Drosophila melanogaster: one gene and its partners. The protein of the gene in region 3 interacts with the protein of the main gene of each other region in a pairwise test. Each region holds a gene or a part of one and is shown on either strand. Other genes may lie near its edges.

What was found. Proteins that work in one complex are often made in the same cells at the same time.
Region 1: the proteins of CG43183 (region 3) and Sdc interact in a two-hybrid assay, tested with the Drosophila melanogaster proteins (one large-scale study listed by BioGRID).
Region 2: the proteins of CG43183 (region 3) and Osi15 interact in a two-hybrid assay, tested with the Drosophila melanogaster proteins (one large-scale study listed by BioGRID).

Annotation. Positions count from the first base shown.
Region 1 is NT_033778.4:21,475,206-21,484,378, forward strand, and holds the start of Sdc (syndecan), read right to left. Parts: upstream 5,972-9,173; 5' UTR 5,809-5,971; intron 5,174-5,808; exon of another isoform or gene 5,152-5,173; 5' UTR 4,979-5,151; coding exon 4,886-4,978; intron 1-4,885. Other genes in the region: Sara (smad anchor for receptor activation), read left to right, coding at 7,020-7,838, 7,988-9,173. UniProt on the Drosophila melanogaster protein: Cell surface proteoglycan that bears heparan sulfate. Required for axonal and myotube guidance, is a necessary component of slit/robo signaling and is required in the slit target cells.
Region 2 is NT_033777.3:6,298,654-6,307,124, reverse strand, and holds Osi15 (osiris 15), read right to left. Parts: upstream 5,322-8,471; 5' UTR 5,213-5,321; coding exon 4,894-5,212; intron 4,334-4,893; coding exon 4,181-4,333; intron 4,123-4,180; coding exon 3,950-4,122; 3' UTR 3,472-3,949; downstream 1-3,471. Other genes in the region: CG46026 (uncharacterized protein), read right to left, coding at 1-145, 202-220; Osi16 (osiris 16), read right to left, coding at 960-1,480, 1,540-1,855; CG46396 (uncharacterized protein), read right to left, coding at 2,772-3,083; Osi14 (osiris 14), read right to left, coding at 6,548-6,906, 6,961-7,166, 7,633-7,874.
Region 3 is NT_033778.4:8,588,671-8,596,116, reverse strand, and holds CG43183 (uncharacterized protein), read right to left. Parts: upstream 3,923-7,446; 5' UTR 3,797-3,922; coding exon 3,673-3,796; intron 3,622-3,672; coding exon 3,533-3,621; intron 3,476-3,532; coding exon 3,343-3,475; intron 3,284-3,342; coding exon 3,213-3,283; 3' UTR 3,148-3,212; downstream 1-3,147. Other genes in the region: CG8736 (uncharacterized protein), read left to right, coding at 1,254-1,268, 1,476-1,952; CG14752 (uncharacterized protein), read right to left, coding at 4,297-4,552, 5,033-5,094, 5,527-5,547.

The sequences.
Region 1 (9,173 bases), about 13 Mb from region 3:
GTTGCTGTTGTTGTTGCTGTCGCCTGCCGGCCTATGTATGTATGTATGTATTCATTAATGAGACGGTGTCTGTGTGTTTGCGCTGTTTACCTCAGCAGACATGCAACATACAATCAAACATACATACAGACAGACATACCAACAAACGCCGCATCAGCAGAAACTGAAATCTCGAAATCATACGGGCCAAGAAACCCAAAGAGACGGAAACTCAGCCAACGACCAAAGACCCAGCCCAAAAGACTCGAGACGAGGTCGCGAGAGTCCCCTTCCGAAACCGAAACACTGGCCTACAGGGGGTCCGGTCCGTTTCGAGCCGAGAATCCCCTATAATGGCACTCGTAATTAAGGGATCCATCAGTCACTCTCTGAAAACCTGTCCAAGACGCTCTCTCGTGTTTGCTTTTCAATGACTAAATCGCACTTAATTGGTAATTGCTTTTAAACTCCAATCACCTTAAAGAAAATTTGTTTTAATATTTATTGTCAAACTAACAAAAGGCTTATATAATTTCACTAAAATCCCTTTAAATTTATTATAAATTTCAGATGTAACCTGATGTTTAAACACATTTTTTGGTAAACCAATTTGGCCGCCAATTATAAACAATACACCCAACCTGATAAGATAACATCCATTCCCACCTAATTTGTTGCACAGTGTAGACAAACTTCACTGGCGGAGTTTTCGAACTCCGTACGTTTTTGTATTCTGTCTCTTCTTCTTCAAAGTTGTCTGCTGCCTACACACACACGCACGCACTCACACATACTTTTACATGCCGCCAGCGCACAAACATTTTTTATGCTGGTTTCTACTTCTTCTTTGACTTTTCGCTTCATTTACAATTTACAACGAATTCTCTTTCCCTCTCTTTGCACTTTGCTCTTATTTGGAGGCTCTCTTTTATTTTGGTTTATGTAGCAAATGTTTGTGCTTGTGATTTATTTGCGCTAAGCCAAAGGTTGTTATTTTAATTAAATTGTATTTTTGATCAAGTGATAGCGAAAAAATGCTGGAAATTTATTCAAAATGTTTTTGTTACAACAAAATTACAAGTGCTTCCCCTCTCTTTCGCTATGTTTTTACCACTCTCTTGTGTATCTCTCTCTCTCTTTTCCACATGATCTTGTTTGCCTGCCTTAATTGGCAACTGACGCAGATTACTTGTGGGGATTTTCAATTGAACTTAGATTACCGCAATTAATCTGCTGCTTATGAGCTCATGTGACATTTAATAAAAAATATTTAAAATGACATTATTCGTTATATACGATAACTTTTTGACATTGTCACCAAGTCGCCATTTGATAATTGCATTGTTTATATGCCCGTTACTGGTGGATTGAAGGGTATACTACATTCGTTGAATAGTATGTAACGATTATAAGAACTCTGTATGCATATAAATCTAGCGCTTTACTACCTGAGTGACCGGTATAGTCGATTGTTATTGAACAACTCACAGCCGATACATATTTTCCACTCAACATACAACATATTGGGATAAATGATTACAACTTTAAGGGTATCTAAACTTCGTTTTTTGCCTCTTCGTGTAAACATAATTTACAGAAAGGTGAGACACGACAAAAGGCGAAAAGGTGGGAGGAGGAATAGAAAGAGACGCAGCGAGCAATTGCAAGTGCATAACAACAACAACATGAGACTTGAATGCTGATGCAAAGGCAAATGAAAAAAGACACACGTGAATAATAATTGAAAAAAATGTAAACCGCATATGGTGGAAACCAGGGGAAGCGAGAGGGGTTGATAATGAACATATGGGCAAGGTAATGAACAAAGATTGAATGAAATGAATGAGTGGAGGAGAAGTAAACTGGTATGTGTACGGAAAATAAATCGTAATTTGAATAAAATTGTGGGATGGGCTTCTAAGCAAGAATCAAAGCCAAATAATAATATAGATTTTAAAAGATTATATAATCTAAGAAATAAAAATGTAAATATTTAAGGATAAACAATTTAAAGAAATATGCAAATAAAGAATCTTTGCGTTTCAGCAACTTTAATGATTCAACTTGGATTCAGAGCAACGATCAAATCTGCAACTCAAATAAAACCTTAAAAAAATCTTTTATTCAAATTTCCTTCACCATCTACAGCGGACAAAAATCGGAATTTGATTACCCAGTTCAAGGAAGTGTTTGTTGTTTAGGTAGCCAGATCCACAGAATCGATCGAATGGAAAACCCAATATCGGCAGAACCTTATCGCTGTCTGTCGCCGTCTGGCAATGTGAATCGGTATTCCAAGAAAGGAAAATAAACACAAACAGCAGGCAGTTGGTAGGGATGCGGAAAACGGGAGGGAGCAATGCAAAAGGAGGCGTGGTACATTGGGTTTCCACACCTTTGAGGTGAGAGGATGCAACCGAGTGTTATCCCTTACTAACTTCCACACTTAATTACAGTTACATTCAAAAAAATGCTACTACCTTTATATCCTAATTGTTATATTAAAATGTTTAAAAAAAAAAAATTAAAATGTTTTTACGCTCGTATTAAGGGACATTAGGATATGGCCATAGATAATGGATTTATGCCAACTTTGTAAATGAGGCAACAGCTAGCAACGGAAAATAGATAGTGTGGCACTTGCAGCAGTCACAACCATTAAACTTGCACCCTCTTTCCGGTGAAGTTATAGCCATCTCTCGCCGTGCTGCTCATCAATTTTCCGGGCACGTTCTCAAAATGTTTTCGACGACAGGGAAAGGAGCTACGAAGGAGCCGAGGAGGGGGGCATAACCACGAATGCCAATTTTGGCAAAAACAAGTGACAAACACCAAAAACAGGACACAAGATGGAAGGAACGGCAAAAACAAGATTACAGACTGCTTTAGATGGGTGAGAGGGGCGGGCGGGCGTTTGCGAAGGGGTAAAAGGCCATCGCACTATTTATGTGCAAGTAGTGTGTGTAGAAATTTTTCGGGCCAATAAGTCACACACCAATAAAGGCAAACAAACCAACAGGCAAGCGAACAAACAAACAAACAAACAGGCAGTGAAAGAGGCAAACACAGCCATCGAAATTGGCAATAGCCGGATGCTTTTGTTGGCAACAGACGATGCCAAAGATCATCGTGACCAGTAGCAGAAGTTGTATCAAAAACTGGCCCAGAACCCAGGCCCAAATCAAGAAGTGCTTTCCAGTGATGAGCTGTGGAAAATGCAACTGTAAACTCTTTGCGGAAAATGAAGAAAACTGGCTGTTAAATTTTTACCGTATCTCAATAGAACTTCTAATTTCGGATAATTAACTAACAAGAAAGCACGGAATGTAATAAATGTGCTAAATTACATAAAATACTTGGTGAAGATAAGAAGGAGACATTAATATTGCCCTTTGGGCTTGCGGCCTGATTCATTAGCTGGTTTTATTATCAGCCAATAAATCTTAATGTGAGTAATTGCGCTAGATAACAAGAAAAGCTGATAAGTAATCCAACTCAAGTCTTCAAATTAGTTTTTAGAATTTAAGTGAAATTATGCAGTTTAAATCCAACTTTTGCCTTCACTAATACATAAATGTCAACTTGGCAATTGTTTTAAGCAATTTACACAACTTGCCCATTAATTTAACCGGTTTTGCTAAGTTAACACCCTTTAAAAGCAGAGTTTACAATCGGTAAATCTAAATTAAACTACTCAATTAATGACAAAAATACTGTGTGATGAGTGGAAAACACCAAAGAGGCCAGTTTCGAATCTGTAAACAATTTTCAAAACAGCACATTCAGACACCAAATGATCTCATTGGGCAGAGCAGGTGATTAAAGAAAGCACGAGAGACGAATAGAAAGGAATTCGTCGGAAATTGAATCATCTCTATATCTCCGAGTAGCATTCCCCATATGAACGTGGCGGCATATCTGTTTCTGTGGCGGCACTCATCTCTCATCGCTAATGGGTAACAGTCGACAACATCGATGGATGGCTGGATGCGATGCGTTGGAGTCGATGACCATTTCGGATTTGCAGCCTTATTTGACCAGCAGCCGCCTCGTCCTCTATATCGATATCTATATCTATGTATAACTATCTATATATATATATTGCACAGTGCCGATGTCTGTGCGTCTAGTTCACTGCCATATTTATGCGTTCGCAATGCAGACGTTTTTAATGTCTTTTCTACAAGAAGCCAAGGAGTGGAGCAATGGAGCCAGAAGCTTACGGCTTACATTCATCGGGACATGGAGGCCTTTCCTCTTCATTATCTGCAGCCACAAATTGCATTCAGTGCAATGCCTTGGAGATTGACCATGCCCATGCCCGTTGCCCGTCAAGCCTCTGCCACATGGTACATGGGTATATGACACATGTATCCACCTTGGGGCTGCCGAATTTTGCATGATAAGTGCAACAACAAGAACAACAAGAACAACAGAAACAGCATTGGACAACCGCAAACCGCAAAAACAACTGAAGTGAACAAGAAATCGAACCGAACTTGGAGTTCCGAACCCTCTCAAGGTGGCGAAAATTGGGAGTTCGGATTGCTGATTGAATCTGCCTCGATTTAATTGGTAAGCAGTTACAAGCAGCAATGGGCTTACGCAACTATGCTTTTGAAAGGGGCCACTTAAATGCTCCACTTTGTGCCCAAACTGGTGGGCATGTGTATGTCGTTACAAAAGGATAGCAATGTCTAATAATGACCCATTCGTAATTAATCAAGCTGTGTGACGTATTAATATGAATAAGCATTCAATGGCCATTAAAGCCACATTAATATTATCACAAAGTCGGCTAAATTTCGGTTGGCCAGGTAAACTTGAAGTTGGCCATTGATTTTGGCTTATCTCAACGTAAACTAATAACATTTGGTAGTTTCGGGTGTAATTTTTGAGATCTTACCTGATCTTGAGCGTGGGTGGCGGCTACCAGAACTCCGATGAGAATTGCGACTAGCAATAGCGGCTCTACGGAAATCTTCTGCTTTGGCTTCATTTTCCCCGTTGGTTTCTTCTGCGGTTGCTGTTGTTGTGATTTCAGCTAATGGCTTCCAGTTTTGTTTATTGATTTAAAGATTAGAACTGGCGGCGGCACACATATATAAATATATATATTGAGCTATATATATTTCTTGCAGCTTTTTAAACTGGTTTCACACTAGAAGAACGCTGTTTAAATACACACATGAAACTATGATTATTATGATTATTTATTTTCCAGACACACACTATTCCCGATGTGTTATCAATCGAATTGCAAAACAAAAGAGATAGCGTTGGTTGGAGAGACAGGGTATTAATTAAGCATTACACACTGTAAAATTAACAACAATTTATCGTATGCGCGCGCGGCTAAAATCAAAGAAAGGAAGTAGAAGAGCGGGGGTAATAAACAAAACGTTTACGCAGAGAGAAAAACACAAAAATAAAGAGGAGACAACAGCGCAACTACTGTGTGTATTGGTGTGTGTGTGGGTGTTTTAATCGAATTCGATTTTTGTAATTTATAATTTTAAAAACATAAAATTTAACAAATTTTTCGTATAATACACTGTATTTTCCTTTTGTTTTTCTGTTTTTCCCTTTGAATCCAGAGATTTTTCAACGAAAAAAAACACGACCGCCCACCACTACAACTACACCATACGCATTCGTATTCGCTCTCCGTCTCCTCTCGCGCCCTCTCTTTCCCACTAACGCCGCTATGGCGGCTTCTTTATGTGTCTCTTTTCTCCTCTGCTTCGCCTGCCTCTTCTTTTCGTATCTTTCTGCCCGTTGTTTTGCTGCGTTTATTTTCGTTGCATTTATTTTTGCTATTTTGCGCACCTTTTCCTCTCCGTATTTACAAAATTGCACTCGCGATTCTTTTCGGGGATGTACAAATTTCTTTACACTCGAGTGCCGACCAAACAACAGACACGAAATCGCGCTAAAATCCGGACGTAACCGTGCCTTCTTCGCTCCGTAAAATTTTTTCGAATGACTTGGCCAATGTTACCAGATGCAGAAACGACTCAATTATCCAAGCTGTGCATTTCCTAAAAAATACCAATTCTTATGCTTAGCTGGGTGATGACTTAAATAGACACTCCGAAACGCGTACTCATTTAAAATTTATATATTTCTGTTACAATTTCGCGATTAAAAATGTTACTTTAACATCTTGAATTTTTTTGGTTTTATTCTTATGTTACTGTTTGTTTACATGATTTGCTTAAGATATTATTATAGAATTATTAAATGTTTGATAGGCAAATAATAATTCAATCAAATATAATTAACATTTTGAATTCATTTAAATCGGCAAGATTTCATATTTAAATGCTTATAGTATTTTTCTTGAGCTAAGCTGCGGTTACACTGATTTACACTGTTTCGGTTGCTCGTACGTTCACTGTTATTCTGTGATACTGTTAGTTCAGTTGTACAACCCAACATTTTTTTAAAAACACAGACTGGCGGCTAAAATTTCCCAGACCCAATGTTAATAGATTTGTTTGAATTCATACGCATTAATATTGAACAATTGAAGCATTCATATTCGTGTAGGACCCGACAGCTTTTACCTATTATTATTTTCAAATTTGAAAAGGTGTTACGGTTTATGTTAACATTGTAACAGTAACAGATTATAGAGAAAGATAGAACGAGATAGCATCATAAAATACTAAATGAGAAAGGTGCTAATTTGACTTAATTTTTTTTGTCTTTGCAACACTGTTTCCATGGCTATTTTTAGGCAGTTTCTTACAATGTTTTTCGTCACCGAGTTTTTGTTAATAAATTAGCGAGAAGAAAACAAAGTAAATAAGGTGATTGCAGGTGCTTAATATTGCTTATTAAAGGCGAATACGTCCTTGTTTTCCTCATTGCCTTGTTATGACTATATTCGAGGTGTGAAAAAGGTATGAATCACAAGACCGTTTTTTCTCCACATCTTTTTGTGTTGTTTTTTCTCTTTTGCGTTTTTGTGAAAATGCAAGCAGATAAACCTGGTTGGTTCAATTTTATTTAAGGTTTCTGCGGATTTGGTGGCCATGGACTTGGTGGACATTGATCAGGTTTTGGACAATCTGGAACTGAGCATTGCCGCCGATGAGCAGCTGAGTAGAAATGCAGCGGCAGCAGCAGCTGCAGGTGCAAATCCTGGCCGTTTTCTGGGCGACGGAGCAAGTGCATCGATCAGTGGAGTTGGAGCTGGCGCCGGAGTATCGGGAGCTGCGGGAGTAACACCAACACCGGCGTCTGGAAAGTCCTTTGTGGGCGTCTCTCAGGTTTTCAACAGCCTGGATGACTACAGGGAAAATGTGAAGTCCTTGCAGGTGGATGCCCAATTACCCAGCTACGACTGGCAAACGGAGGCGGAACACGAAGACGACATCCACAAGTTCAGCGAACAGGCGTCCAAAAATAACGGCCAGACGATAGTATCGTCCTCCGAATCGCTGACCACCTCATCCTGTTCCACCTTCTCGTCGGGTCCGTCGCCCGTGAGCAATGGCAGTCACTCGGAGGAGCTAGCAACGCCCCCCGAAGATGAGAAAACGAGTGAAGTTCAGGTGGAGCCAAAGGAACAGGATCAACAGCCGGAACAGGTCAAGCATGAGGACCAGCACCAAGATCAGGCTGTTCCACCGCCAACGCAATCCAAACAAACTGTAGAGGAGTTAGCAGTTGGATTGTCATCCATCTCCATCACTGCGTCCGGCACAGAATCGCAATCCCTATTGCCGGAGGAGGTCACCGCATCGTCTGTTCTCGGGCAGGTCCTCGAGGAGCTCTCGGAGGAATCGTCGCCCAGTAGAGAACCCGAAACCGAAATGACCAACGGCATAGATGTCCCATTGGCCAATTTAGTAAGTACTATTACCTTACTTTGTTTGTGTAAATGACTAATAAGTGTAGCGCATTAGTTTAAAAATATTATCAGCTTCATAAATCAATTAAGGTTATAAACTATCTTGACATATAGTATAGTTTATTAATAATGGTGTTACATTTTCAGCCAGCATCTGTTGCGGAAGTACCGGTCCCTAAAGAGATGGAGCAGCCAGTACAAACGGAAGAAGAGGATGTGGAGCTGCCACAGGAGCAGCATCCCAGGCGTAGTCAACCGTTGACCTTCTGCTCCACCATGGACGAGATCTCGGACACCGAACTGGACAGCATGCTGCAAGAGATGGATGCAGATGACAACCAGGCGGACGATCAGCAAATGCCCGACGATGAGAAATCCTGCTCCGCCTCGCCAGTGACCGAGGAGGAGTCGGTGCGGATTCTATCCGATGAGCAGGAGACAACCTCGAACGATCAGATGAACGTGGACAACTTTTCGCAGGCCTCCACTGTGGAGTTTGCTGATCTGAAGCAGCCGGAGTCCACACCAGTTACCGCGATGGGAGAAGATGTAGCCTCCAGTTTCAGCAGCACGGAATCGGATTCCCTTTCGGGCAGGAAACTAGATGGCGAAGTGGAGGTCGATCGAGAGCATGAAGATGCCAGCCTGGCAACGGATGCCCTGGAAACCCAAGAGCAGCGCCCCCAGCGACCACAAACCCTAAATTTGAATGGTTGCCAGGCAGAAAGTTCCACGCCATCTCAAGATGAAAATCCCGAAATTCAACAGGAAACTTTGCAGCCTACCGAAGTCAGGGAAGGAGCGGCAGGAGTAGGTGTTATACCCGGCGAGGATGACGAGGAAAGTCCTATCTACGAAGCAGTGGGCTACAGCGATCCGCATGCCAATCTGGGCAAGGTGCCACCCATATGGGTCCCGGATAACATGGCCGGGCAGTGCATGCAATGTCAGCAAAAGTTCACCATGATCAAAAGGCGTCACCACTGTCGCGCCTGCGGAAAGGTCTTGTGCTCTGTCTGCTGTTCGCAACGATTCCGATTGGAATTCGCCACCGAACCCGAGTCTAGGGTTTGTGTGCAGTGTTATATGATTCTCTCTGAGCGGCAGGCTAATGGATTGAATTCTGAGTCAGCACCGGGTTCGGCATTGCCGCCCACTCCCATTCGTTCGCCAAACCCAAACAATCCAATGGAATATTGTTCTACAATACCACCACACCGTCAGGTGGCCAACTCACCGGGTGCTCCGCCACCTAGTGTGATTGTGCCCGTGGGTGTGTTGAAAAAAACCGATGGCAGCTCCTCCAATTCCTCCAGTTCGGATGGCCAAAAGG
Region 2 (8,471 bases), on a different chromosome or scaffold from region 3:
AGTTTGATGGGAATGGGCAATTCCGAACGGAATATTTCTTTCTCTGATAATTGGTTACTGGAACCAACTATCAGTGTTTTAGTTGCGTGATCGATGTCCGCCGTAGAAAAATGTATTCCTAATATGCAGACTATCACGGCACTTTCTGAAAAAAAGGATTTTGTACTTTTCACTCACAAAAATATATATTTCTTTACGTACCGTAACAAAACGACGACATGGTGATTCCAAGTCAACTGTAGTTCTCTTTCTAAATTTCTCGTTTTATATGGGCAAACTTGCTGAAATTGGAAAGTTGGTCATTGGACTCTGTTTCTTATAATTCTGCTAATTGATAGATGTATGGAATATTAGCAAACTTTTTTTTCTTAAAATGCAGACTTTAGGTATATAAGTGTGAATAAAATCTCAACTTCTAGGGTTTTCCAATATCAGTTAATATTGGTAGTGCAAATCACTAATCCGAGTTAAAACTATTTGATTAATTGCATTTGCTTGCAATATTATTTGTGTAAATACTTTTGATCAGCAAAAACAATTAGGCGTGATTACCGACAGTTAGTACGTAGATAAGATATTGGGAACTATAAAAGTATCACAAGAGTTAAGGTTGTTAATGAGTTTTGCAATTTGTGGGAGTGAGAGTATAAGTGCCCAAATAATTTTGGTTGTGGAATATTTTCGTCTTCTTAGGAGTTATTATTATTATTTCAAAATAAAAAATTAAAACATTTTTTTACGTTTGTGGGCTTAATAGTCGTTTATAAAAACCTTGGGCATATTAAAAGTAAATAAAATCTGACTAATGATTATTTGGAAGATCGGCAACGTCTATTTAACTGTTCTGTTCACACAATAAAACAAAAACAATGCTGAGTTTGCTGAGTATTGTGTTTCTTAAAGTACAATAAATTAATTAGTTATTAGGTAATGATACTGTCGGTTCTTTTCTAAAATTATTAGATTTTGTTCGCTGATTGATCCACTTTCAGGGACCTCGCATATCCTCCGTAGCCAAAGCCACTGGCAGTACCACCACCCCCACCTCCTGCGGCAAAGTGGGGACTGTGGGAGTGACCTCCATCTTCGTGAGTGACCGAGTGCGAGTGGCTGGAGGTGTAAATTGGTTTAGCCACTATTTCGTATGTGGTGGACTTTCCCCCGCCACCGGCCAAGCTCTTTAGACCGAGGACTCCAGACAGGGTCAAGGCCATTAAAGCTGTCATCAGAGCCTTTCCGGCCATCAGAGCGATGGCCCCGAGGCCCATGGCCATAAGCATTCCCTTCATCATGACTCCAGCCGCCACTAGGGCCTCCAAGCCTCCTTTCTTGCCGAACTTGTGCTTGCGACCTTCTACGAGGGACTTGTCATCCAGCAGGCGAAATCGTAGGAACCGCGTTCTCAGAAGGTTTTCCAGTTTGGCTACTATATAGCCATTCAAGCGAGTGCTCGGGTCACTGGGATAGCTGCGAGCAACTTCTGTATATTGTCGAAAGTTAAAATTTTTTGTCTTTATTTTTGTGTTTTCAAGAACATACCTGCCATGAGCTCCGATGTCTTGAGTTCGGTGGCGTTCTCATCCTTGACCACGCTGATTCCTGGCAAAACGTTTAGTTCCTCCTGTTCGGCAAGCTTTTCCATGATCTTGACAAACTCGATCTTGAGGCACATCCAACTGAAGGAAGATGCTTCACAGCCACTGAGAAGGCTCTCTGCCCTTTGGGGTATTCTAATGGTTTCCGGAGCAACTGCAGGCACTTCGGTGGGCTGGACACTGGCAGCCGTGGCATATTTGCACATGAAGGCGAATAAGGCCAAGTAAAAAAGATATTTCACGGTCTTGGTCAGCAACATCTTCGCTATCTACTGCAATGGAGACTGTTTGTGAGTCTGCATCATCTCGATTTGAAGGCCTTCGCTTTTATACCCGCTGCCACGGTTTCCATTCGCATTTCCCTTTCACCAAACCGTACTCCGTCCGTATTGGGGCCCTTGTGCTTTTCTAATTACTCAAACGATTTGTGGTCGAAATTCTTCCCAGCGTCAGTCAGCTGCGTCCAACTGGGCGGCACTTTCGCTTTCCTCTGCGCCAGCGGAGGTCGGTCTTGCGAAACGGCCGGCTAATTCTGTCACCAAAAGTTCCAGCCAATGAATTCCCCAAGAGTCCGAGAAGAAAACTCTCCCAGACTCGGGAGTTCAGGTAATTACAAGTGCCTGATAAACGTCGCGTGCCTCGGACCTTCATAAATTAAGACCCAACATTTTGCCTGCCTAACTGGGACTAACTAACAACTCATTGTTAATTATTACTTCATTTTCATTTGTGTCTGACCCAGCGTCGTTTCGCTACTTTCTTTCCTCGTATTGGCCATGAAGAAATTTATCTTTCCACGCCGAGAACGACCTGTTTAATATTCAGATTACATGCAGTGCTAATGACCAATTGGTTGGTCGACTTTTGATTTTCGCTTTTTGCCTAGCAGGTGTCTTATTTCCCAATCTGAGCTTATAGTGGGTGCTTGGAACGATTATGCAATCTACTAGACTACTACAGTGCTCACTTAAAAACAGTGTTTTTAATTTTATTAAAACATTTTTGTTGACAAAAATATTGTTTTCAACATACTCTTATATGCTTTTATACGTTGTATTTTTATTGTAAAGATAAGACAAGTTATTTCGGGCATAATAAAATGAATTTAAATAAATATTTATGTGAAGTATGTGACAATCTTTTGTGTGTTGATCCTTTTAATTTTTCTTATGAAGCTTATCCTGATGTACTCTGTGTCGTTGTGGTTGTAGTTGTGGTCCACTTGTTCCTGAATTTTTCTCCAAATCTTTCGAACAATTTGGTTCCATTGTTATTGAAAGGCGGGAATCGGAGCTGTCCAACATTTTCCACTTCCTCAACCACAGGGGCAGCTTCGATTGGCTGCTCGGTGTTCACAGCATCATCTTCAGTTATGAGGGGTTTTCCATCATCCTCGACAGGAAGTGCCCAGGCCAAGGATACCAAAAGGCCAACAATCAAGGCGAATTTAATCTGACAGCCAATGAGTTTGTTGCTTAAGCCGTTCATATTGATTCTGTTGACTTTTGGTCAGCATGAGTGGTGTTTTTATACCAACGCCAAGTGGGACATTTGATTAAACATCAATTAGGAAGTTGACGCAAAGAAAGCCACGGGCCCAAACTCAACTTTGCTAATATAATTAAGTGGAAATGTGTCTTCAATGGATTTGTTTTTGCAAGAGGTTCAAGGAAAGTGTTTAAGTAAAAGCCACTAATTTCACTTTCCAGCTTGATGCTCACACTCTTCCTAGTGATTTTTCAGAAAATACCTTTGAGACTCAATAAGGAAGCTTTGAGCCGGAAATTATACAAGTCATTGCCTTTTTAAAAGTATAATACCTGTACATTTCCAAAGTTTCCGACTCGGGCAAAAAGTTTAAAGATTCTATGGTTTTGCATTTGATGAATCATTTTTATTCAATTGCTTTAAGTTGTACGAATAAATACTTAGTAAGTAAGCTCTTTAGCAGGCATAATCTTCGTTGCTTTCGATGAACCTGAGTGACATGTACGACCGCCAAGAGACATGTGGATGGGGAAATGTGCAATAATTATGGCGCAATCATTGATTGGCCGTAGTATCCTTAAGCATTGTCCTTTGGGCTAGCCAAGAGTCGAGGGACCGTTTCAATAGTTCTCTTTTTTTGTGATTTTTTTTGGTATGTCGCAGCTAACTAACTAAATGTAACTAAATAATTATTGACTACGAATTAGGCCATTCTTCAGGAAAGTCTTAGAGGGATAGGTTGTGGAAATGGTGATGAAGTGGGGGGAAGTTGAAGAAGGGAGACGCTTTGGTAGGATAAGATATAGCAGGTGAAAGATAGAGGCTAGTACAGAGTGGGATGGATGGATCGGTGGGTGTTTTCCGGCTTAGAAGGGCTGGGCCAGACCATAGTGGTTGTAGGCCAGATCGGCGGCACCTGCCTGACCATTGCGGCTCCAGTCGGAGTGCACGATGTCGGCGTTCAGCGGGCTGCCGGTGATGTAGGCAGTGGTGATGTGTTCCTTCTTCTTGGCCAACAGATCCTTGAAGAAGGTGGCACCTGTGCGGGAAACGTGGGTAAAAAGTGCTATTCCTGAGATCATTAAAAGTAAACTCACCAGCCAGGATGAGGGCCAGGAAGGAGATGGCCAGAGCCTTCAGCGAGATGAACTTGATGATGGTGAACATAATCTTGACAACGACGGCCTTCTTCAGCTTCAGGGCCAAAAGAAGGGGCAGCAGCATCTTCTTCATGCGCTTGCTGCGGGACTCTGTTTATTCCGGGAGGGAGAAAGTAAAGAGAAATCGGGGTTTTAGCCATGCTCCTAAAAGTATTCAAGGCCTGGCAGTCGAGGTAAAGCTTTCACTTCGCTTCCCGTCAGCACAACTGAGTATGCTAGTAGTTTTGCTTTTGGCAGTTGGCTTTCTGCACAGCAGAGTGGACCTTAGTACGTTTAGCCTTAGTAAGTAGACTTTGAAGTGTTCGTTTACCGTACAGAACAGGAACGACTTGAGAGCCAGGACGGTTTACCAAAGCTATTCTCGTATGCGCACGAATGCCTCTGTTTTTGTAGTAATTAATAAAAATGTAACTTATAACTCGTTTAAAATTATTTCAAAATTCTTTGGCTATCAACTCACGTATTTACTACCATTCTATCGATTTATGTCTCTCAAAAACATACAAATTTTTAAATTCTGACCTAATATTAAGTATCTAAGATATTCAACGCAATATGAAAACTTTAAAAGCAAGTAGCTTAAATAGCTTTTTTTTCTTTGGATTAAACTATATTCTGTTTTTCAAATAAAGGAAACCAAGATCACTCACCATCCATGGCGCGTCCGGTGTACTCGTTCTCGGAGTTCTCGTCCTGCTCATCGCCGGAGAAGGAGAGGTTTAGCTCGTGGGTCTCCAGGTAGCGCTCGGCGCGGTCCTCGAAGGACTCGACGGCCTTGGATGCACCGAAGCTACGGCCCGACTCCGACCGGTCGATCCTCAGACCGCCGAACAGCGCGACGGACTCCTCGCTGTCTAAGCGGTTCAGCATGTTGACCAGGTCCCGCTCGGTGTTGTCCTGGGAGGGAAGGGCCATGGAACCGCACACAAGGCTGGCCAGCAGCACTACACATACGAATTTCGCGCACATTTTTATTAGCACTTGGGGGTGTCTTGACTTTGGGTAGGTTATAATCCGTGGGACGGCTGCCTGGAGCTGGTGAGTGCTGCCGATGTGAACGGGAATCGCTTTGTGATTAATTGAATGCACTGCCCCCGCGTTTTATACCATTTCGATTTGACGTCGATTGACCAATTTTGTGGCTAGAAATCGCGTGGCAGGCCAAAAATCCAAAACGCACCGCTCGCCGCTGCAATAACAATAACAATACCGAACGGCAATACCAAAAATCCAAAAGCAATTTATGCAAAGCATATGCGTATGCTACCTGGCCGGCAGTTTCTTGACCATATTTCCACGCACGTCGCGATGTCAACGAAAGGGAAGTGGCCAGTGGTCGGCCGGCTGAATATTATTTTTTTGTATATACCATACATATATTTTATATAAGCAAGTGGCCCGATTTCGGGTGCTCGACCGTTATCCGTATCCTAATTGGCATTCAATGGAGTCGCCGGTGCTACGTGTTGGGATTGCCTGCGCCAGATTCTTGGCCGGTTGTTCCTCTCCATTAGCTCCATCAGGGCTCACGATGGAGCGGAGAATATAGTGGTGGATCTGCGAGACCCACACGTATTTGGTATGCCCCGCCGGTGGTGACTTAATGCACAATTTGGCCCAGTTAGTTACTCTGGCGCTTTCAACGCTTTCGATTTCATTCTCCCTTTGTCAACTGTCGTTCGTGGCTTGTTTTCTATTTCAATTGCTTCTAAATCTGCCTGTGAAAGAAAGCTGAATTGTAGCACATCGCCGCATATATCTCTTTTCAATCGCAAAGTGACACTTTTATGAGCATAAGTAGAAAGTTTCTGGCAAACAATTAACATGCCGAACGGCCGTCACATGGCCACTAGAAACTCCAATTATGAGCAGGCCACCAACTTGCCAAAAACTAAATCCCCAGCTTATCAGCTCTTTTTCTCAACATTTTCTGTGTTCTTTTGGGTTTTTTTTTGTGTTCAGAAACAGAACCTGCCACAAGTTTTAATTGCCAGCCGCAAACTTGTTGCCGCCCAGCGAGCAAAGTTCCACATATTTGTTTTGGGGTCTGTCAGCATTTCAATTAAGCCCTGGGAAACTGGGAAAGTCTCTGGGCACAGGTGAGCACTGTCCACGTGCGTGGATTTGCGGATTATATTTTTTTCGGGTGCAATACTCTTGGTTTTATTCATACATTCGACTTGACTTGCGGGTGATGTGTGCGTGGTGTGTCAATAAATTAGTTAATTACATTTCGAATAAATTACTACAGGCTAAAGGTTTCAAAACGAAGGCACATCTGTTTGAGCTGTCTCCCAGCCGCTTCTACTGCTGCTGCTGGCCGGCGTAGGCCAATTGCTGGGCATCGGACCCATCCTCGCTGATGCTGCGGGCATAGGGATAGGACGAGGAGGCTCCCGAGCTCCAGCCGGCGCTGGCGGGTGCGGACCATGCGTTCGAGTTGTAGGCTCCGGCAAAGGAGTTACCTCCGAACTTGTTGCCGAATCCGCCCAGCAGGCGGGATCCGCCGACCAGAATGGCCAGGAAGAAGGCCAGCTTGGCCACGATCACGGCCTTGAAGGTCAGCAGGGCCAGAAACCCGAGCACCAGGGGAATGACGGCGAACAGCTTGGCGCCAATGGCCAGAGCCACGGGTCCCAGCATCTTCTTGATCTTGCCACGGCCTGTGATTGGATGTTAGGTAACCATGTTTTATCGTATCCCAAGTCAAAACCCACCTTCATCGAGGGCACGAGCCACCTGCTGGGTGGTCTCGGCGGGCAGCTTGAACTCCAGGTTGTGGGTGCTTAGGAAGTCGGCGGCACTAGAGACGGCCAGATCCACTAGACGACCAGTACGCTCATCGGCATTCTGGGGCAGCTCGGCATAGACATCCTGCTCGCTCATCGATTTTCCCGTGCGGGAAACGGGACTGGCGGGATCCCTAAAATGATATTGTAAGTTATAAATACATTTTCACATTTACTTAACTTTTATGACAACTTATATGCCGAATGCCTCTAATGTCTTATTATACCACTTTTAAATTTACTGTCATAATTTTTGGAATTATGTAAGAATTCCAATAATAATTAACATTAATTATGAAGTGTTTTTAGCCTTAGCCTTGGCTCACCATTTAAATCTATAAAGACCATAAAAAATGGGTATCAGAATATAACTATCTAATAACTAATTTCTCTAAACTTATTTTTAATTGCCTACATATCTTGATATCATAATTTCATTTTAAGTATCTTTCCTAGTCAACTTTTGTGATGCAATCACTACTTTAACTAACACGGATTGAAGATTTCATCTCGGGCACGTTCTTCTTTTGGTTACAGTTTCGCTTTCGATTTGGTTTTTGTTTCAAGAACCAGGCACTTTCACTGTTAAAAAACACACACCTCTGGAAGGTGACTCCACTGGCCAGCTCGATGTTGTTGCTCCTGGCGGCGCGGTTGAGTGCGGTGATGCCCTTGACGGCCAGGCAGGTGGCCATGTCGTCGCTCTCCAGACAGGCGCCCAGATACCGGGCGGCCCGGCCCAGGGTATTGTCGCCCTCGACCTGGTTGTCTTGAACACTGGGCGCGGCAAAGACGCAGCTGGCCGCCAAGAGGGTCACACAAGCGATGGCAAACACTTTCATTTTCGATCGATTGGTATTTAGACGCGGTTAATCCTTGCTAATATAGCTGATCCGGGGTTTCAATTCTGGGCTTCGGGCTGCTGCTTTTCTGAGGGAGCGCTGAGATGAGTTTGATGTATGCGTCTCCGGACATCTAGCCTTATATATTGGGCCTCTCGGTCGGCGTCGCAGTCGGTGCGCATTACAAAACAATTCAAAAGTAAATTAAATAAAGCCCGGCGAGAGACGGCGGAAGTTATGGCCAAGACGCGAAAAGAGCGAACTCCGAATTGGAGACAGGGCCCAAAAAAAGAGTCACAGACGCAGCCGCATAAATCTAGAGAACGGCGGGGAAACAAAGTCAACTTGTTTGTTAAGTGAACATGTTCATTTCGGTCTGCCTTTTTTTCGGCAGCGCCGCTCCGGCGACGTCGTCATCCGTCAACGTTGGCGTCGCGGAGAGAGAAACTCGTACTTGGACTTGGTCTTGGTCTTGGCCATTGGCCAAAAAGGGGCGCCCTGGAGTAAACAGTCGGCCCATTGGCTTAGGTCTGCACAGCGACAAAAATCAGCTGGCTTACATAACCGGGGTGGTCCACGGTATCACTTATAACTGCA
Region 3 (7,446 bases):
CTTTGAATATGAAATTGATTTGCTTTATTAAATTAGTACAAAGCCAGCATAGACTACTTCAAGCCTACAAATATGTATCAATTGTACAGACTACATACATGATATTCTGAATTTGATTGAAAATGTAATGTACCATAGATATATGAATTATGAATGTGCGAAAGATTTATCAGACTCATGATTGTAAGCCCAAGAATAGCTATCTTTCAGATGATATGTAAAACTGTTGGGAAAGATCCAGCAAAGGCATGAGGTGATTTAATGGTTTTGAAACCAAAGAATTTAGATAACTATCCTGCAGCCCTAGAACCTATAAGTGAACTTCGGTGCGACCCCGCCTCTCGAATGCTGTGCATTGAGATCTAGTGCAAGTTCGCTGCACCGAAACCCGTTTGCAATGACGCGGACCACCGCTGCCTTCCGGGCAGACCAAGACCGGGCGACATGTGGCAGTGGCATGCCAAGGCGATGGTGGAACCAATGGCAGGCCGATGGCGATGGTGGTGGCGACCTGTGCCTCTTACACGATCCGAATCCAAGTCCAAATGCGAATCGGAGCGGAGCGTAGTGATTCACGAACTGATCCGCTGGCAAATGCGGATCGAAAATTGGCCAAACGCCAACGCGACTTTGTCAAATGTACCCGTACGAGCCCAGGCTGGAGATTTCTTTTTGGCCGAAATGCAAGTTGGGGGCTTAGTTCATTGCTAATGACGGCATGTTGTCGGTAACTCGATAGGGGAGTGCGCACTCGTATGTGTTTGCATAGTTGGGTGTTTAAGCATATTACCCGTATGTATGCACGAGTATGTCTGTACATATCTATCTGTCCGTCGGCCCCGTTCGATTTATTTGTCCGCGCTCCACAACAAAGACTCATAATAATCTGTTGGGCCAATCAAGTAAAATATGCGCGAGATCAGTCAACTACAGAAACAAAAGCAAAAGTAAAGCAAAGCCACTGCAGCAGCAGCAATAGCAAAAGCAACAAGCACAGCAGCCGCAGTAATGAAAGTGAAACCGAGTCTGGCCGAGAGACTCTGGCTGAGATTGAGACCCGGCCAAGAGTCGGTTCTAGCCAGCACCGCTATATAAGCTTGATGGCCGGGCTCGGCAGCAGCAGTGCAGCGCCGACCAGGAACCCAATTGGAAGTTTGAGCTACGACTCCATAGTCCAATTCGGCAAGGATTACCATAAGCCCCACACCAGAACCAACTCCACAACTACCAACCACCCACTCACCTCAGCCAACATGTTCTGCAAGCTGGTAAGTGCCCTTTGAGCCAAGTTTCTGCCCACAAGGATAGCGTCTGAAAAAGTTCCTTTAACTACTAAGTGGAGCTGGAATCCAAATCTGCAACATTTTAGTTGAAGTTCTTAAGATCCGAGGATCCTAAGTTCCAGATATTTTTCAAACTACAGATGTATCTTATTACATTTAAAAATTCCATATTTTTTTAAAATCTTTTCAAAGCTTTTCGCTACCTTCGTGGCCCTGGCGGTGGCCAAGCCACAACACCAACCTGCTGCCCAGTATCCGGCTGGCGTGAATCCGCAGGACTGCCCCAACTTCCCCATCTGTGATAATGCGCGCCTGCACAATCCGCAGCCGCAGTGGGGTGCCCCGCAGCCACAGTGGAACCCCCAGCCGCAGCCACAGTGGAACCCGCAGCCACAGTGGCAGCAACCTCAACCCCAGTGGAACCCCCAGCCGCAGCCACAGTGGCAGGCACAGCCCTCGTGGAACGCAGCCCCTGCTGCCGCACCCGGTGGCGATAAGTATCCAGCTGGCGTCAATCCGCAGACCTGCCCCAACTATCCCTACTGCGACGTGAACGCCGGACACGCTGGTGCTCCCGTGGCAGCTCCTCCTCTACCTGGCTGGACGGAGCGTCTGTATCCCGCCGGAGTTTCGCCGCACCAGTGCCCCAACTTCCCGTACTGCAACTAGGGCGGCCTAGGGCTCACTTGCGGCCAGCCGCAGCTTCCTTTAACGCTTCGCCTTTCCCCAGTTCTCAATTAGTGGACATTAATCTGAAATTCTTTGTTGTTGGCGCCGAAATAAATGCAAAATGTTGGTCAAAGAAATGGGACTTTCTATGGTTGATAGCTGCAGATACATGGGGGTATACAAATCGTTCTATTCGCAACTACAACTTCTTACTATATTACAAAATGTAATTGTTGGTTGGTTCATAGAACTCTTACTAATGAAGAAAAGATTAATTGACCAAAGTAAGCATTTATAATTAAATAAAGTAATTTGAACTGTCTACAATCAGAAACTCATTCAGTCAAGTGCGCTAAATGAGGTATGAAAGAAGACTGTTAAGATCCTGCTCCATGAAACTTGATTTACAGAAAGGAATGATCCTGCTACTTTAAGCTTGAATTATATGACGGAAATATCCCAAATTCTCAAGTTAAATTGATAAGAGTTCCGAAAGTGTAAAAGGTATATACTTAATTAAACATTTCCACTGCCCTAGGACCAGTTCTAGCTGAAAAGCGTGCTGAACTAGGAACCAAGAGAGCTCATGCCCCGAGAATGTGCCCTGCCACGCCCCTGACTTGCAGCACAGTAAGTACTTGGGCAAGGAGCGGAGTGGACGGACCGGACCGGATCGGATCGGATCGGGTTCGTGGAGATCGTAGGAAGGGAGAGATCGGAGCGGAGCGGACGCGGACTGGCGGTCGACCTCAGTCGGAGCTGGTCAAGTGAGTGCTTTGTGAAAGTCGTTCTTGCAAAACTTCGGCTTAATTGCCGCCTTTGGGAGACCGGCCCAAGGTCAAGTGCAACTGCAAATTACAGTCTTGCAGTGGGATTAACTAATGGAGCAATGATCCAATCGAACCTATCACATTCCCGACCAATTCACCTGAAATATGCGTGCAATCATTGCTTTATTTATAATCAATATAGCATTGCCCCATTTTTTTTGCTCTTTTTTGGCAGTGTGTGAAAAAAGTGCAACTCACGAAAGTAATTTTACAAACAAATGTAATGGGAAGTGATTATGGGAAACTTATTGCATGAAAAGGAATATTCGAATTCTTGGAATCCAAAACGATTGAACCAAATGAGATGAGATATAGTTATTTCGGTACTCTACGATGATTATTCCACTTAAAATGCAGATCGATTTGTAAAAATTCAAGTACTTTATTGCTACAATCACAGTACAATTTATTACTTGGCAATGGATCACATTCAGATGAAGAGAGGTCCTCCTAAGGCGGCGTAAAAAGAGTACGCCACTAGCCAGGAATAAAGGCAAATAACTGAAGCAATGGGGAAAAATTAAGGGATTGTGAAATCTTAGATACACTTAGCTACTTACAGAACATTATAGCATACGTGATCATTACCCAGAAACAAACGGCGAGTATGACGTCGGATACTATCAATATGAGCATTGCTACCGCCATGATCATAGTCATTATTATGTAGAAGAGCATCCAGCTGCTCCGTAACTAGATCAAATCATAAGTATTATAATTTGAAACTAATCAATTGTACTGGTATCTCACCCGTATACTGCCGATGATCAGGAAAACGCAGCTCAGGATGTGCAGCATAACGAAGATAATGAATAGGGTGTGACCCAAATCGGGAATACCTATGGGTGTTAGGATCATATCCTTGCTCTCAAGTATCCTGCTTCACTTACCCGACTCCCCAAATAAAGCAACAAATGTGCCTCCAAGGATATCCGCTATAATGTGCAAAATCCCTATTGCTATGGTTCCGATTCGCAGATCCACGCAGCAGCAGCAACTCTGTAGATATATCATGGTGCAAATGTGGTAGTGTGTCTATTTGTGGCTATTTGCTATCAGGGTATTAGTATTTGAGTATCTGAGTATATGGGGTTTTTATTTTATGTGTACAAGTTCTGTCACTGATAACAAAAATCTTTTGAAAAATATTACTTAACAAGTAGGTTATATTCTACCATCTTATATAGTATATAAATATAGAGATAAGCAAGTTTCGAGTCTTCAAAAGTAACCATCTATCCTAATCGCAACAACTTAAAAAGCCTCAAATAACAAAATCGTTATTTCATTCCCATTAAAAGTATTTGGTTTATTAGATTACTTGTGAGCCATCAAACACTAAGGTTCCACTTCAGGGAATCCTGCCATAAATACGCCAGGATTGTTCTGTGTACAGTCGAATTGTGATTTATTTACATTCATTAACTTAGCATTGTACAGTATTTACAGGCTGCTTCAGATGGGACTGGCTGAGTGGGTGGGTTTGAAGACAAGCAGGCCAGCGGGCAGATGGCTTACAGCCAGCCGTGTCCGTGGTGGGAGCTCCAGCCGTGGTGGTCGTGGTGGTCATCGAAGACATGGTGCACCGGGATCTCCTCGTGATGGACGTGGTGCACCGGCACGGGGATCTCCTCGTGGTGGACGTGGTGCACGGGCACCTCCTTGTAAATGGGCACCGGCACGTGCTTCACCACCGGCACATGGACCTTCTGAACGTGATGGTGGTGCACCGTGTGCACCTTGTAGGGCACGTGGATGGTGTGGTGCTCGCTGCGGATCGAAAGTGAAATCGGTTAGATCGAATGCCATGTACCATCGCCTGTTAGCTAATCAGTTGCTTGAACCCAGCGTCTTGGCAGACATGGCTATTGCATATTGGCTATTGGCAATTGGCAATTGATTCGCACAATTATGCGCGCATTACGCTGAATTAAATGCCAACCGCCGCCTGCGAAATTCCTAAGCCGCGAGCCAAGCCAAGTCGAGATCGGCTAAGTTCAATGGTAGCCAGTGGTGGGCACCATATAGAGACTGCTGGAGGGGGCTGGGGCTCTAAGTGCTACAAGCGTTTTGATTGCTCAATTCGATCGCAATCGGACACATATTTCATAGACCCACGGAGCAGTCGCAGCGTTTAAAAAGCCATGCGACCGCTCGTTAGCTTAGCATAAAGCGGGAAATGGGTATTTTTATCGATTCGCTCGGGTTATTTATGGATCAGTTCAGGTGCAGATCGCCGCCGATACTCACTGTTTGCCAAAGAAGCCGGGACTGGGTGCGCAGTAGGCCACGGCGAAGAGGGCGACGAAGATCTGAAAGGGGATAAGGAAGTTAGTAAGTTAGGTCCGGCTAGATTAACGCAAATAGCTAACTAATCAGTGTGATTAGTTTTAATTTGGCACTTCAAAATTTATGTTCAATTCTGGTGAAATCTAAGTAATCTAATGAAATGTTAGTCCGCGATTGATAAACATAAACTAATATTTTTGGGTGAATTTATATTTCTGCAAAATAAATGCTTTCGCAGTTTCTTGAAATATCTATTCGAGACTTTTTAAGCCATCAGGCGATCTTGGTGGTATATTTCCAATACTTCGGTTATCGAAGTCAGTTTTCAGTGAGTTTGTTATGTTTCAGTTGGTTAGTTTTATTCACGATAGTCCACATGAGTTTAATCCTTTTCAGCTCCATTCCGCGGAGGTTTGGCTTAACACTTTTTCGAACGTTATCCTTGTCGCACTTACGAATACTTTCAGGACGGACATGGTGGCTGGGCTGAGCTCTGCTGCACTCGAAAGGCGATACTAAAACCGGAGCACTGTCAGGTGGTGACTGATAACCACAGGCTGCGACTCATCCGTTTTATACCGGGCGCCAGCAGCGCTTTGTGTTGTTGCTGCAAGCCGACTGCGCTGCACGAGAAAGACGTGACGTCGGTGCAGCAACAACAGCAGCAGCAGCAGCAGCAACAACAGCAGCAGCAACTTCAACGGCCAAGCGAAAATAAGCATAACAGTGGACGCGCGACTGTTAACATGGCCAACATGGTGTAGTGATATGTGATTTGTATTAACCGTCGTTGGCATCTGTTTACGAGGGGTTAAGACCCTCTGGTCGGTGGTAAAGAGGGACTGGGAGCGGTGGTCCATGCTTCAGTTGTCCACAATGGCAGACGATCGAACTTTGACTTGGCGGGGCTTTGTGTAATACGGGGCAAATTACGTTCATTTCATAATCATAATCGCAAGACAGAGCGCGGAGTGGAGCTAAAATCATTCCGAATGCATGACCAAGTAGCACATATACCGCCGCTGACTGGATCACTTAGCGGCCTTCTGTAGACCGCCGCAAAAAGTGAACGTGTGCGGCCGGAGACAAAACAAAGTTGTCACGCTAATCCAAATTTCTTGGCCCTTCCATATCGCTTGGAAGACATCTCCACCAATCGACCTTGAATGTCTTCTGTGGTAATAGTGGTAACTGTCGTCGCTGGTGTCAATTGATGTGGGTCAGCGTTGGAGCTACAGGAGTCCAGTCTTGGATGTATCCCCAGCGAAACTCACATCACGACGCATGGAGCACGAAACACGTACGCCGTAAATTTGCAATAAAACGCATTTCGGGCAATTACTTAACAGTAGCAGTAGATGTGGCGCTAATCAAGCAATGCATCACACGATTTTGAAGAAATTCCATTTTGATTGTGTTTGTGTGGATTTGTATTGTTTTTGCCCATTCTACAATGCCACAATGCCCCTGACATAACGCTGGCCACGTCAGCTGCTGTTGCAACTGGTTGTTGCATGTTGCATGTTGCTGCCGTGCTGTGCTGTTAACTCAACTGTCAAGAGCTTCAATTTGCGGCGTGCTTAACCCATTTAAGGCTGAACAAGGAGCTTCCGTTCAGAAATATAATCTATAATCAAAATGGGGTAAGTGATATATGCACTACTAAGTCTCCACAAGATTTTATATCTTTAGTCTGGCAACAAGATAAACAGAGTATTATAGTTCAACCTAATAAAAAGTGGCTCCAAACGGGTTAAACCATTAGTATCACTCGCTGTTTTTTTCTTTCACTCACTCGGCTTTCATGTGTATATATAGGCCAGTGTGCTTTTACTGCGTTTGAGGGCGCACCACTGCCATCCTGCCCCACCGAGCCATCGAACCACCAAAACACCGCACCATCGGCTTTCCCCACCCCGTTCGCCGGGATGTTATTGCATTTGCGGCAAATTGCTCGTTTTAGCCATGCCAAATTGCATAATGGATATTTGTCTGAGCGATAAATATGCCATAGCTTCCATGCCACGCCCCCCCGGCCACCCGACCAACCCGCGCCCCTTCTAACCATGCGTGCCCGTGGGCAAAACCAAACAATAATCCACCCGGTGGCCGCTGCGGTGGATGATTACTTTCGCTTTCTGCGAACGCGCTGGCGAATCGGCTCGGTTCGGTTTGGTTTGGTTTGGATCGGGATCCCGGGATCTGCACATGCAAATACTTCCTGTTGGGTGAGTTTTGACTTCTGTGAATGTGGACCACTCGAAAAACTCGGACCAACTCCAGATGTTGTACGGAAAGAAATTGGATCGAGGATTCGATGGTAGAGATGGGATTAGGGAATACGACGGGTAGTATTATTCCACCTCTTAAACAGA